Rattus norvegicus: one gene and its partner. The protein of the gene in region 2 interacts with the protein of the main gene of each other region in a pairwise test. Links are inferred from orthologs where the notes say so. Each region holds a gene or a part of one and is shown on either strand. Other genes may lie near its edges.

Region 1 (4,991 bases), on a different chromosome or scaffold from region 2:
GGTGCATATCTTAAAAGACAGTGCCCCCCCCCACCTCATAAGCTACGGTAATATCAAGCAGGGAGAAGGTAGCTTTTGCTACCCCTCGGCAGTCATCTTCCCCAACAGCGGGGAGAAGGCACAGGAAGGAGTGGGGCGGGGCGCTAATTTCCCCTCAGTACAAGATGACAGGTGAAGCTTGGTGGGAGACTGGAGCTGGTGAGGCTTGAGGGGAGGAGGCTCCAGGCCCTGTGTTCAGTCAGAGTCACTGCTGGAGGAGGAGGAGGAGGAAGAGGAGGAGGAGTGCTGCAAGGGGAAAGGACACATCATCAGATCCAGATGGCCTCTGGTCACTCCAAGGTCCATTCTTTGGTGCCCCACCCATCCACCCAAGTATCCAGTAGTCAGGAGTCTCATACCGTCCTGTCCCATAACCAACAAAATCAAGGGTTTCCTTCAGCAGTGAACATACAAGAATGGATTAAATTGTCCTCAGTCATTGCACAGAACTGAACACATTGCCTTCTGACCAAGTTTATACTTTCCACACCTAGCCAGGGCCAGGAATGAAGAACAAACACAGCATGGATGCGGGAAGCAGCTGCAACTTTGTAAGTCCCTACTCATTAGCTTAAAGAATGACAAACGAGACTCTCTGCACCTCAGAGAGGGTAGGAACAGCCAGCCACCGTGTGTGTGTGTGTGTGTGTGTGTGTGTGTGTGTGTGTGTGTGTGTGTGTGTGATGCTGTACTTCCTCCAAGTCCCACTAGGGGAAAAAGTGGGGAAGATGGCAGAGACAGACAGATGGCTGGAGAAACCCCACACAGACATACCTCCGTCAGCTACTGTAAAAAAAACACCTGCTACCAGAATCCTAGCCCTTAAGAGTTTCGTGTTGGGGCTGGAGAGACGGCTCAGCGGTTAAGAGCACTGACTACTCTCTTCCAGAGGTCCTGAGTTCAAATCCCAGCAGCCACATGGTGGCTCACAACCATCAGTAATGCAGATCCGATGCCCTCTTCTGGTGTGTCTGAAGATAGCCACAGTGTACTCACATACATGAAATAAATAAATAAATCTTAGAAAAAAAAAGTTTAGGCTCTCAGGGTTCTCTCCCTCATTCAGTGTCTCCTTTCCTTCCCCACTCCCCACATCTCTACCTAAGACCCAGAATCAGGAACTAGAGTCCAGACCCACAAGCAAACATTTGGCATAAAAATCTAACTAAAGCTTCAAGATTAGACTGATGCTTTTCCCAAGTCCTCAGGGAAACTCCTTCCCTCACTAACAATAATTAGCGTCCCTGTGGAAGGAAGGGATACAGGTCTTGTGAAGGAAAATGCCCTTTCACCCCAGGCTTTGCAGAAGGCTGCTGAGTCACAGAAGACCCACCCAGGGAATTAACTCAGCACCTGAGAACGCCGAAGGAGATAAAGGAAATCCAGGAACTAGGGTCAGACCGCCACCCCGCAAACTATTATGCGTCATTGCACTTTGTCAAAGAACTCTTTTGACATTTAGACAACCTTAATGGGTGTGTCCAACTTACCAAAAGATACACCTAGGGTGGGTCAAGGCGGGGAGTTACAGGGATAGAGGGAGAGAAGGGAGAGGGCTTTTGGCTCTGATATCCGCCCCCACTTCACTTTTCCTTTGCAGATGGGAGTGGTCGAATGCCTCAATATTACTAAACTCCTTAAAGGAGGATCTCTTTACGTAAAGGAAAACCACCTGCCAAAAGGACAGGATTGCCGTCCTCCTCCCACGCCCCACAAACCGAGAATGCCCATCCCCAACTCCTGATCACCCCGGTCCCTCTGAAGGGAGCTCCTTCCCCAGCCAGGCTCCAGAGGACACTGACCTTCCCGTGCTTATGATGCTTGTGTGATTTCTTGTGAGCTTTCTTCATTTTCTTCCTAGTCTTCTTGTCTATCACTATTCCTGGGCCTACCATGCCAGGAGCCGGAGGATTCACGGGGCACATGCCAGGAGCAGCTGGTGGGTACGGGGGAGGGTAGGGACCTGAGGGTTGGTATCCTGGACACCCTGGTTGCGGTACAGGATAAGGAGGTCGACACGGAGGGAAAGCTGGGTTTCCCTGAGGAATTCCGGGAGGACAGGGGCCAGGAGGAAAGGCAGGATTTTGGGATGGTGGGCAGGCAGGATTGGAACCTCCTGGACACACAACTTGGGGTGGATATGGATTTGGCCCTAGAGGAAGAATTGGAGAATAAAGATTAGAACGGTGCAAACCTCTATCAACGAGTAACACAAGTCACCACCATTCTTTTTTTTTTTTTTTTTTTTGTTCTTTTTTTCGGAGCTGGGGACCGAACCCAGGGCCTTGCGCTTCCTAGGCAAGCGCTCTACCACTGAGCTAAATCCCCAACCCAGTCACCACCATTCTTAAGCCCTACGGAAAGGCAGAACTCGGTAGCTAGCAGTGGTCCCGTGACTTTGTTTTTGCTGGGGGTTGCAGGATACAGAAAAATCCCGTTTCGTTGCAAAATGGGCTGGGGCGGGGTCAGAGGAGAGCCCCCCAGTTACTTACCAGCACTAGGATTCCACATGTCCACAAGTTAGTTCAATCCTACGAAGTAAAACAGACAAAAATCTGAAGCTCCCAGGAAGGGAAGCGGATTTTCTAGAGCCCGAGCCCCACCCTACAGCCTCCGCCTTACGAAGGCTCTCACTGATAAAACTACCGCAACCTCCACTTTAAAATGGGCAGCACTCTGGAGGCAGAGGCAAGTGGATCTCTGAGTTAGAGACCAGCCTGGTCTAAAGAGAGTTACAGGACAGCCAGAGCTACCCTGTGTTGAAAACCAAAACAAAACAGAAAAAAAGTTTCCTTCCTCTCTCCAGCGCCCTCCTAGCCTACATTAGCGCAGGGTCTAAACCACAGAAACTCTCTTCCTGGGGCCCCTCCCACTTTCACTATCTCACCTGGATGTAGGCGTCTCATTTCCCTCTCCCTAGAAAGGGACCGGAGGCCTTAAGCATCCGTAGTGTGAGAGATAGGACCTAAACCCTAAACTCCCTGCTCGCCCCAGTGGAGAAAAAAAAAAAAAAAAAAAAAAAAGGAACCCAAAACGCTAAGATAAGGACAAAACACACACACCCCAAAGAAAGGGCAAAGGGAGTTCCTAGTTCTCAGGTATAAATGGATCCCTGGCCCAGCTAAGAGGAAAGAAGGGAATTTGGGAGGCCAGATGCCCTGTCACCTTCCCAAGATCGCTGGTCCTCTTCCCGTCCTCCTTCCCAGTCTGGGATCACACACTTCCTGGTCACCCCTATTCATTCTATGCTTCCGCACCGCCCCGGTGACCTAGATAATTATGTGGTCACTCGGCATGATGATTGGAGAACTGACTTGTCAATCGCTGTGGTCCAAACAAGGAGGAAACGTTTGCGCTAGACGCCGGGCGGAGCCTTTTGGAAAAAAAAGCCTTGCGTTGTGAAATACATAACTGGTGAAATAACAGACACAGCGGAAGTGCTCCTTAGGGCGGGAGCGGGGCAGGGCTAGCTCCAAGCAGAGACCCCGAGCCAACGAGATAAACTCTCAGTTTCTTTTGTTCGTTTAAATTTTAAGATTTTTTTTTTAAATGAGTATGAGTGATTTGCCCCAATGTATGTGCACCAAGTGCCTGCTGAATGACAGCGGAGGTCTTCAAAGCCCCTGGAGTCAGAGTTGCTGATGAGCAGCCATGTGGATGCTGGGGACTGAACTCAAACACTTCGCATGAGAAGCAAACGCTTTTTAACTGTTGAGACATCTCTCCAGTCCCTATCATTGCGTTGCGGTTACAGGTCAGTGAGTACATTAGGTGTTTTGTTTGTTTGTTTTAAGGTAGCCTTGTCTGTAACCTAGCACTTGGGAAGTGGAGGAGGAGAATCAGAATTCAAGGGCAATGTTAGCTTCTTAGGGAATTTGAGGCCAGCCAACCCGATATAAGACCTCAGAGAGCCCTGTGCTGGTGGCATATGTCTTTAACCCCTGCACTCAGGAGCTGAGGCAGGTGAATCTCTGGGTTTGAGGACAACCTGGTCGACATAGTGAGTTCCAGGACAGCCAGAGCCACACAGAGGAACCCTCTGTTTCCAAAAACAAAAACAACAAAAAAACAAGACCTCAGAGAACAAAAGGAGGAAGTGCTGCTAAGTCCTAGCCCCAGGTCTCAATGCTGCCAGCTTCTATAACCACAGCCCGTGGTTCTCTTTTTTTTTTTTTAAAGATTTATTTATTTATTATATATGAGTACACTGTAGCTGTTTTCAGACACACCAGAAGAGGGCATCAGTTCTCATTACAGATGGTTGTGAGCCACCATGTGGTTGCTGGGATCTGAACTCAGGACCTCTGGAAGAGCAGTCAGTGCTCTTAACCACTGAGCCATCTCTCCAGCCCCGTGGTTCTCTTTTGTAGAAAGATAGGTAAGAGAGGGGGTCTCAATGTGTCCAACAGATGCCGTGGTTATAGTCTCATGCCATTGTTCCGGGTGAATAACTTCACTTTTGGTTTTGTTGTTTTGAGACAGAGTCTTCCTGTATGACTCAGGTTGACCTTGGAGGGAAGGCAGTCATCCCTTATCTGCCTCTCTCCCGTGCAAGAATAACAAGAGCAAGCCACAACTCTCAAAAGAGTTTTTTTTTTTTTTAAGGTAAAGATTACAAACTCGTGCTTCAGCACATCTAGTTCTAACAGGTGGAGTTCAAAACATGCGAAGCCAAGAGTCTGCAATGTAGCTATATGCCCAACCCATAAATATCTTTTAAAATATTTTATCTTATGTGTTATGGGGGTTTTGGCTACGTGTATGTCCTGTGCACCATGCGCATGCAGCACCCTCAGGAGTCAGAAGAGGGCACCAGATTCCCCTGAGACTGGAATTATAAATAGTTACGAGCTGTCTTGTGGGTACTGGAAAGTAAATCTAGGTCTTCTGGAAATGCAATGGTTGCTCTTAACTGCTAAGCCATCACTCTAGCCCCCATCAACATCTAATGG
Region 2 (5,079 bases):
CCCATCACAGACACTATACAAACAAGTTTAATTTTTGCATTCAACAAGCATGCCCATTACAAGATACTGTACAAGGAAGTGTAATTCCTTTCTGGACCCCAGAGATTATATATGAATTTCTTTTTTTGTTGTTGTTGTTGTTGTTGTTTCTGGAGCTGGGGACCGAACCCAGGGCCTTGCGCTTGCTAGGCAAGCACTCTACCACTGAGCTAAATCCCCACCCCTCTATCATATGAATTTCAATGCACACACACATAAAGTTTTTAAAAGGGGTTCTCGTCAAAAAGAAACTTACATTCTGGTTGGGAAGGCCAAAGTTACCACTAATAGAACACATTTAAAAAGCAGCCGAAGTGGTCAGTAGGTTGGCTCAGCAGGGAGAGGCACTTGCTGCCAAGTCTGATGACCCAAGTTTGATCTCTGGGTCCAATATGGCAGAAGGAAAGAGCTCCCTACCCACACAATAAAGTACTTTTTTAAGTAGTGGAAAAGCAGGGAAAATTCCATTTAAAAAATAAGAAGGGGTTGGGGATTTAGCTCAGTGGTAGAGCGCTTGCCTAGCAAGCACAAGGCCCTGGGTTCGGTCCCCAGCTCCGAAAAAAGGAAAGAAAAAAAAGAAGAAAGCAAAAAGGCAGGTAGGAGATAACTGAGGGAGTGTGCACTAGTGTTTTGATTCTAAGATAAATCTTGTCATTCAGCAAACTCAGAGCAGTACCTTCTCTACGCTAGGAATATGTGATGTTGGGAGCTAAGGACGCAGACTACTGAGATGTCCCCTGACTTAACTTCAAGTTTGTTTTATTTTGAAGAAAGGATTCTGGGCTGGAGAGATGGCTTAGTGGTTAAGAGCAGCACTGACTGCTCTTCCAGAAGTCCAGAGTTCAAATCCCAGCAACCACATGGTGGCTCACAACCATCTGTAATGGGATCTGATGCCCTCTTCTGGTGTGTTTGAAGACAGCTACAGTGTACTTATAAAAAAATCTTATTTAAAAAAAAGAAAAAAACGCTCCCGGTATGTGTCCCAGCCAGCCTTCAATTTACTATGTATCCCAGGCTGATCTTGAACACACAACTCTCGTTCTCCAGGCAAGCTGAATGCTGAGCCACCATCCCTCGCTTAATGAATTATAATTAAGAAAGTTCTGAAAGCTAGGAACATAAATCAGATGTACAGCATTTATATAGGTACACAAGACCCTGGGCTTGACTTCTAGGACAGAAAAAAAAAAAAACAGTAATAATAATAACAACAACAACAACAACAAAGTACCAAGCCACAGGAATCTAGATGGAACTATAGTATCCCTGGTGTTATAATGCAATATAGACTTGCAACTAATACAGTAGCAGTGCTGGCTGGCATGGCAGCTCGCACCTTCCTTCCTAGCATTTACGTGGCAGGGGCAGGCAGATCTTGTTGAGTTTGTGGTCAACTCAGTCTAGTCTGCATAAGGAGTTGCAGGCTAGCCAGGGGCTCCATAATCAGATGCTGTCTCAGAAGCACAGTGCAAGTGCAGTAAAGCACAGTTCAGCACAGCAAGCACAGTGACTGCGGACTGGGACTGCGGCTAGGCAGCAAGGACAGCTGTTCTGCCATCTATAAGGACAGCATGCTGAACAAAACAGTCTTGCTCCCAAGCGTGTGGAAAGCCAGGTAGTGGAGGGAAGCCTGCAGCCAGCTTCGAACTAATTAAAACCTGGGTTAAGAACTAGAGCAGCACTAACGTACTCACCTCGCCCAAAACGAAGCGAATGGTCCAAAAAGTAGTATAGTATGCTAGAGTCACCACACCTCAAACAGAACCCAGATCCCACAGGCAAATCCCACATCTCCGTACGTCCCCAAGCTTACCAAAAAACAAAATACTAAGAACACAAACATAAATGCAAGACACTCACACCATCCAGTCCATCGTGGCTATTGGTGAGGAGAATGGGGTCAGGGACTGGGAGATTCATGTCTGAGTGGATCTGAGTTAGGTCATGGATATTTAGAATTGGTTCCTGAAAGAGAGGCATTCACCCCAAAACAGTATTAGTGTTAAGTTTAAAAAGAAAAGAAAGAAAAGAAAAGAAAAGGAGAGAGACGGGGGATAGGAGTATTTCTTGTAAAAGCAAACGAATCCTTTACAGTACACAAGGGAACAGAATCAACACACAGTCTGCCCCCTCTGTCAGAAAGACAGGAACCAAAGAAGTAATTTAAAGAAATAAAAGCGTCTCTCACCTTCAAAAAACTATCAAGTTCTAATAACTTCTTTGGGAAAAAATTTGCCACCAAGTCTTCTGCCTAGGCAGAGAAAATACACCTGAATTAATAAACTCCCTATGGATATCTTTTTGGGAAACCCCAAGCTATTAACCAATGCCCCTTTTCTCTTTTACAACCAGCACTCACCTCACTTGTGATCCGCTCCCTGAAAGAATCAACCTAGAATTAACAAAGAGAGCAATTCAATACCTAGTGATACAAGGGTGTGGATGGGGAACCCCAAATCCAGCTGTCTCGCCCTCACCTTGAAATTATAATTAGAAGGTGAGAGGCCCCCGGACTGCAAATATTTCATTTTTTTGAGGATCCATTTCTCCATCTTGGGAGAAGATGTTGGGGTTGCAGGCCGGCACCTGTCAGTTCTACCCCTTCTCTCCCTTTCCACCCACCCCTCACCCCCCTTGGTCCCTCCCTCCGTGTTGTCTGAAACCCTCTCAATTTCATAGGCAGACAAAAGCCAGACTGGAAGAAGTGAGCTCACAAACGTGCCAACTCCCCCCCAGACCTGGCCTATCATACGCAGTAGGCCAGCCTCAAGGGCAGGGTCAGTGGCAGGGTCGGGGGCGGGGACGTTCCTGGGCCCGGGATTTCCACCTGTCACTAGCCTAAAGCACTGAGTCTAACACGTGTCCAAGGAGGAGTCACTGGTGCACTCCATCACCAGAAGCAGGGCAGAAAGCCACCCTATATCGTCCTCTCCAATGCCGTCTCCAGGCGTGGGGGGCTGGGTTGAGCCAGGCGGAAGCTCATACCTGGTGTCCCCAGGGAGACAAAGACGACATGGGGAGTGGGGAGCAGATCCGACTGCTGGGGGTTCGAAAGGAGGGATGAGGAGGCCGGAGCTGTGCCGCTACCTTGAGCTTCACTTCCTGATCCACCTTCAGCAACGAGGCCATGGCCGGGCTGGACCGCGTCCGCTCCGCTGGGTGCCGGAGGTGCTGTGGGCTCCGGGGAGGGCACCGGAGGGGCCTGAGGAATCTCCGCTGCCCTCGGGACCCGGGCGCCCTCGCTGGCTTGCTCACCGCTTGCTCGTTCCCTCCCTCCGTGCCGGCCGGCCACCCGCCCGCCTGCTGCCGGGTAGCTCTCTCGCTCGCCCTCCCGGCTTTCGCCGCTCACGCCGGAAGTTGCGTCACAGCCAATCGCCCGGACTCCTGGGGAGGATGAGCACGTGCCCTGCGCAGCCGCTGTGATGCTCAACTCTACAGGTTCTCGGAGGGGCTAATGGAGCTCCAGGCCTTGTGACCTGTGGTGGCAAACCTAGGACAGGGATGCTGAGACCCAAATCTCCCGGGGACTCAAGAGTGATGTGTCTTATTGTCCCGGAACTCGACTTCACCGTGGTACCTCACGTGCCACTGCTTCTGGAAGAGTAGGCGTCGCGCCCTAGTGACGTCGGCTGGAGAAGCCCGCGGCCCGGGTCCCTAGTTTAAGGTTCCGGGCTGTGACTACTGATTCCCGCCACCCATCCCTTACTCCTGACGACTAGTCTCAAACACAAGACAAGTTCCATTGCACCGAGCTTTCCTGGTACAGTTATCATAAACGTGCAGACCTCAGATATCAAGTATCTAAGGGGCAAATTCACTCTCAAAAGAGGATAGTGGCTTATCTTAAGAGACAACACATTGTTTTCAATGACTTCATTAGACTTAAGTTTTCAGTTCTAGGGGGAAGTGGTTACCATTTTCCCACTGGAAGTCCGAGACAGCAATCTCCTCTTTCAACAGTTTATTCGGTGTATCTTTTCCTATTGGTTATTCCATGCAATAAAATGGAGTAGGGGGATGTGCTAGACCCCAGAACAGTTTTCTGGAGAGACTAGAAATGTGCGCATCATGTATGTAGGGTGAGGTCTTCTAGCAGACGCATTAAAAAAATAACTTTAGCCAGTGTTAATTTACATATTACAATACAGTCAGCCCCTCGTGTCTGGATTTCCAATTCACCGCATCAACCAACTAAATGGGAAATATTCAGGAAAGCTTGAGCTACCAGGAGCTAAAAGGTGGACATAGTGGGTATTAAAGGCACTCGCCTCTAAGCCGACCGACGTTAATTCAATCCTTAGACACGTATGGTGTGACAGCCAATCCCTGCAAGTTGCCCTCTGACCTCTGTGCACACATAAGAAAATAAGTAAGCCCATCCAGAGTAAATGATAATGGTTTTAAATGCCTGAGCTTCAAAGTAAGGCCATATATAAATTGTCACAAAACAACCAAAAACAGAAAATGTGATACACTGTAGTACTCAATAGCCGGCAGAACCAGTGACTCTTCTATGGAAAACAACAGTTCTGGGGTACAGAAAGTGAACAATCTGCTTAAAGTTTCTGGTTGCCACTGGTGCTTCACACTGGAAAAACACCAGAAAATAAAGTGACCAAAATGCAAATGGGAGCAAAGAAATGGCAGGCAGACAATAGCAGGGATCTAAGATAGTCTTCCCACTTATTCCAGTGCAAATACCCTCCTCCCACCCTTCTCCTCTACTCACTTATAAATAAGTACACTCTAGCTGTCTTCAGACACACCAGAAGAGGGCATCAGACCTCATTCCAGATGGTTGTGAGCCACCATGTGATTGCTGGGAATCGAACTTAGGACCTCTGGAAGAGCAATCAGTGCTCTTAACCCCTGAGCCATCTTCACACTACTTTCTGTTAACACTAGTCTCTAGATACTTAACATCAGAATTCTCTCCCAAATTAGCTTCCTTGTACTGTCAGTGGGCCACTCTTCTGTGTGTCTTTCAGAATTCTACCTTCAAAACTAGTGTTCGTGCTTATTGAAATAATGGCTTCA

What was found. The genes of interacting proteins can lie anywhere in the genome.
Region 1: the proteins of Psme3 (region 2) and Prr13 interact in binary tests that used the Homo sapiens proteins (3 or more experiments, as listed by UniProt). The two-hybrid records come from large-scale screens. The link is inferred for Rattus norvegicus from reciprocal best matches to the Homo sapiens genes PSME3 and PRR13.

Annotation. Positions count from the first base shown.
Region 1 is NC_086025.1:135,469,318-135,474,308, reverse strand, and holds the start of Prr13 (proline-rich protein 13), read right to left. Parts: upstream 3,270-4,991; 5' UTR 3,205-3,269; intron 2,571-3,204; 5' UTR 2,551-2,570; coding exon 2,532-2,550; intron 2,192-2,531; coding exon 1,842-2,191; intron 286-1,841; coding exon 235-285; 3' UTR 1-234. UniProt on the Homo sapiens protein: Negatively regulates TSP1 expression at the level of transcription. This down-regulation was shown to reduce taxane-induced apoptosis.
Region 2 is NC_086028.1:86,756,225-86,761,303, reverse strand, and holds the start of Psme3 (proteasome activator complex subunit 3), read right to left. Parts: upstream 3,372-5,079; 5' UTR 3,172-3,371; coding exon 3,130-3,171; intron 2,435-3,129; coding exon 2,402-2,434; intron 2,294-2,401; coding exon 2,231-2,293; intron 2,008-2,230; coding exon 1,903-2,007; intron 1-1,902. UniProt on the Homo sapiens protein: Subunit of the 11S REG-gamma (also called PA28-gamma) proteasome regulator, a doughnut-shaped homoheptamer which associates with the proteasome. 11S REG-gamma activates the trypsin-like catalytic subunit of the proteasome but inhibits the chymotrypsin-like and postglutamyl-preferring (PGPH) subunits.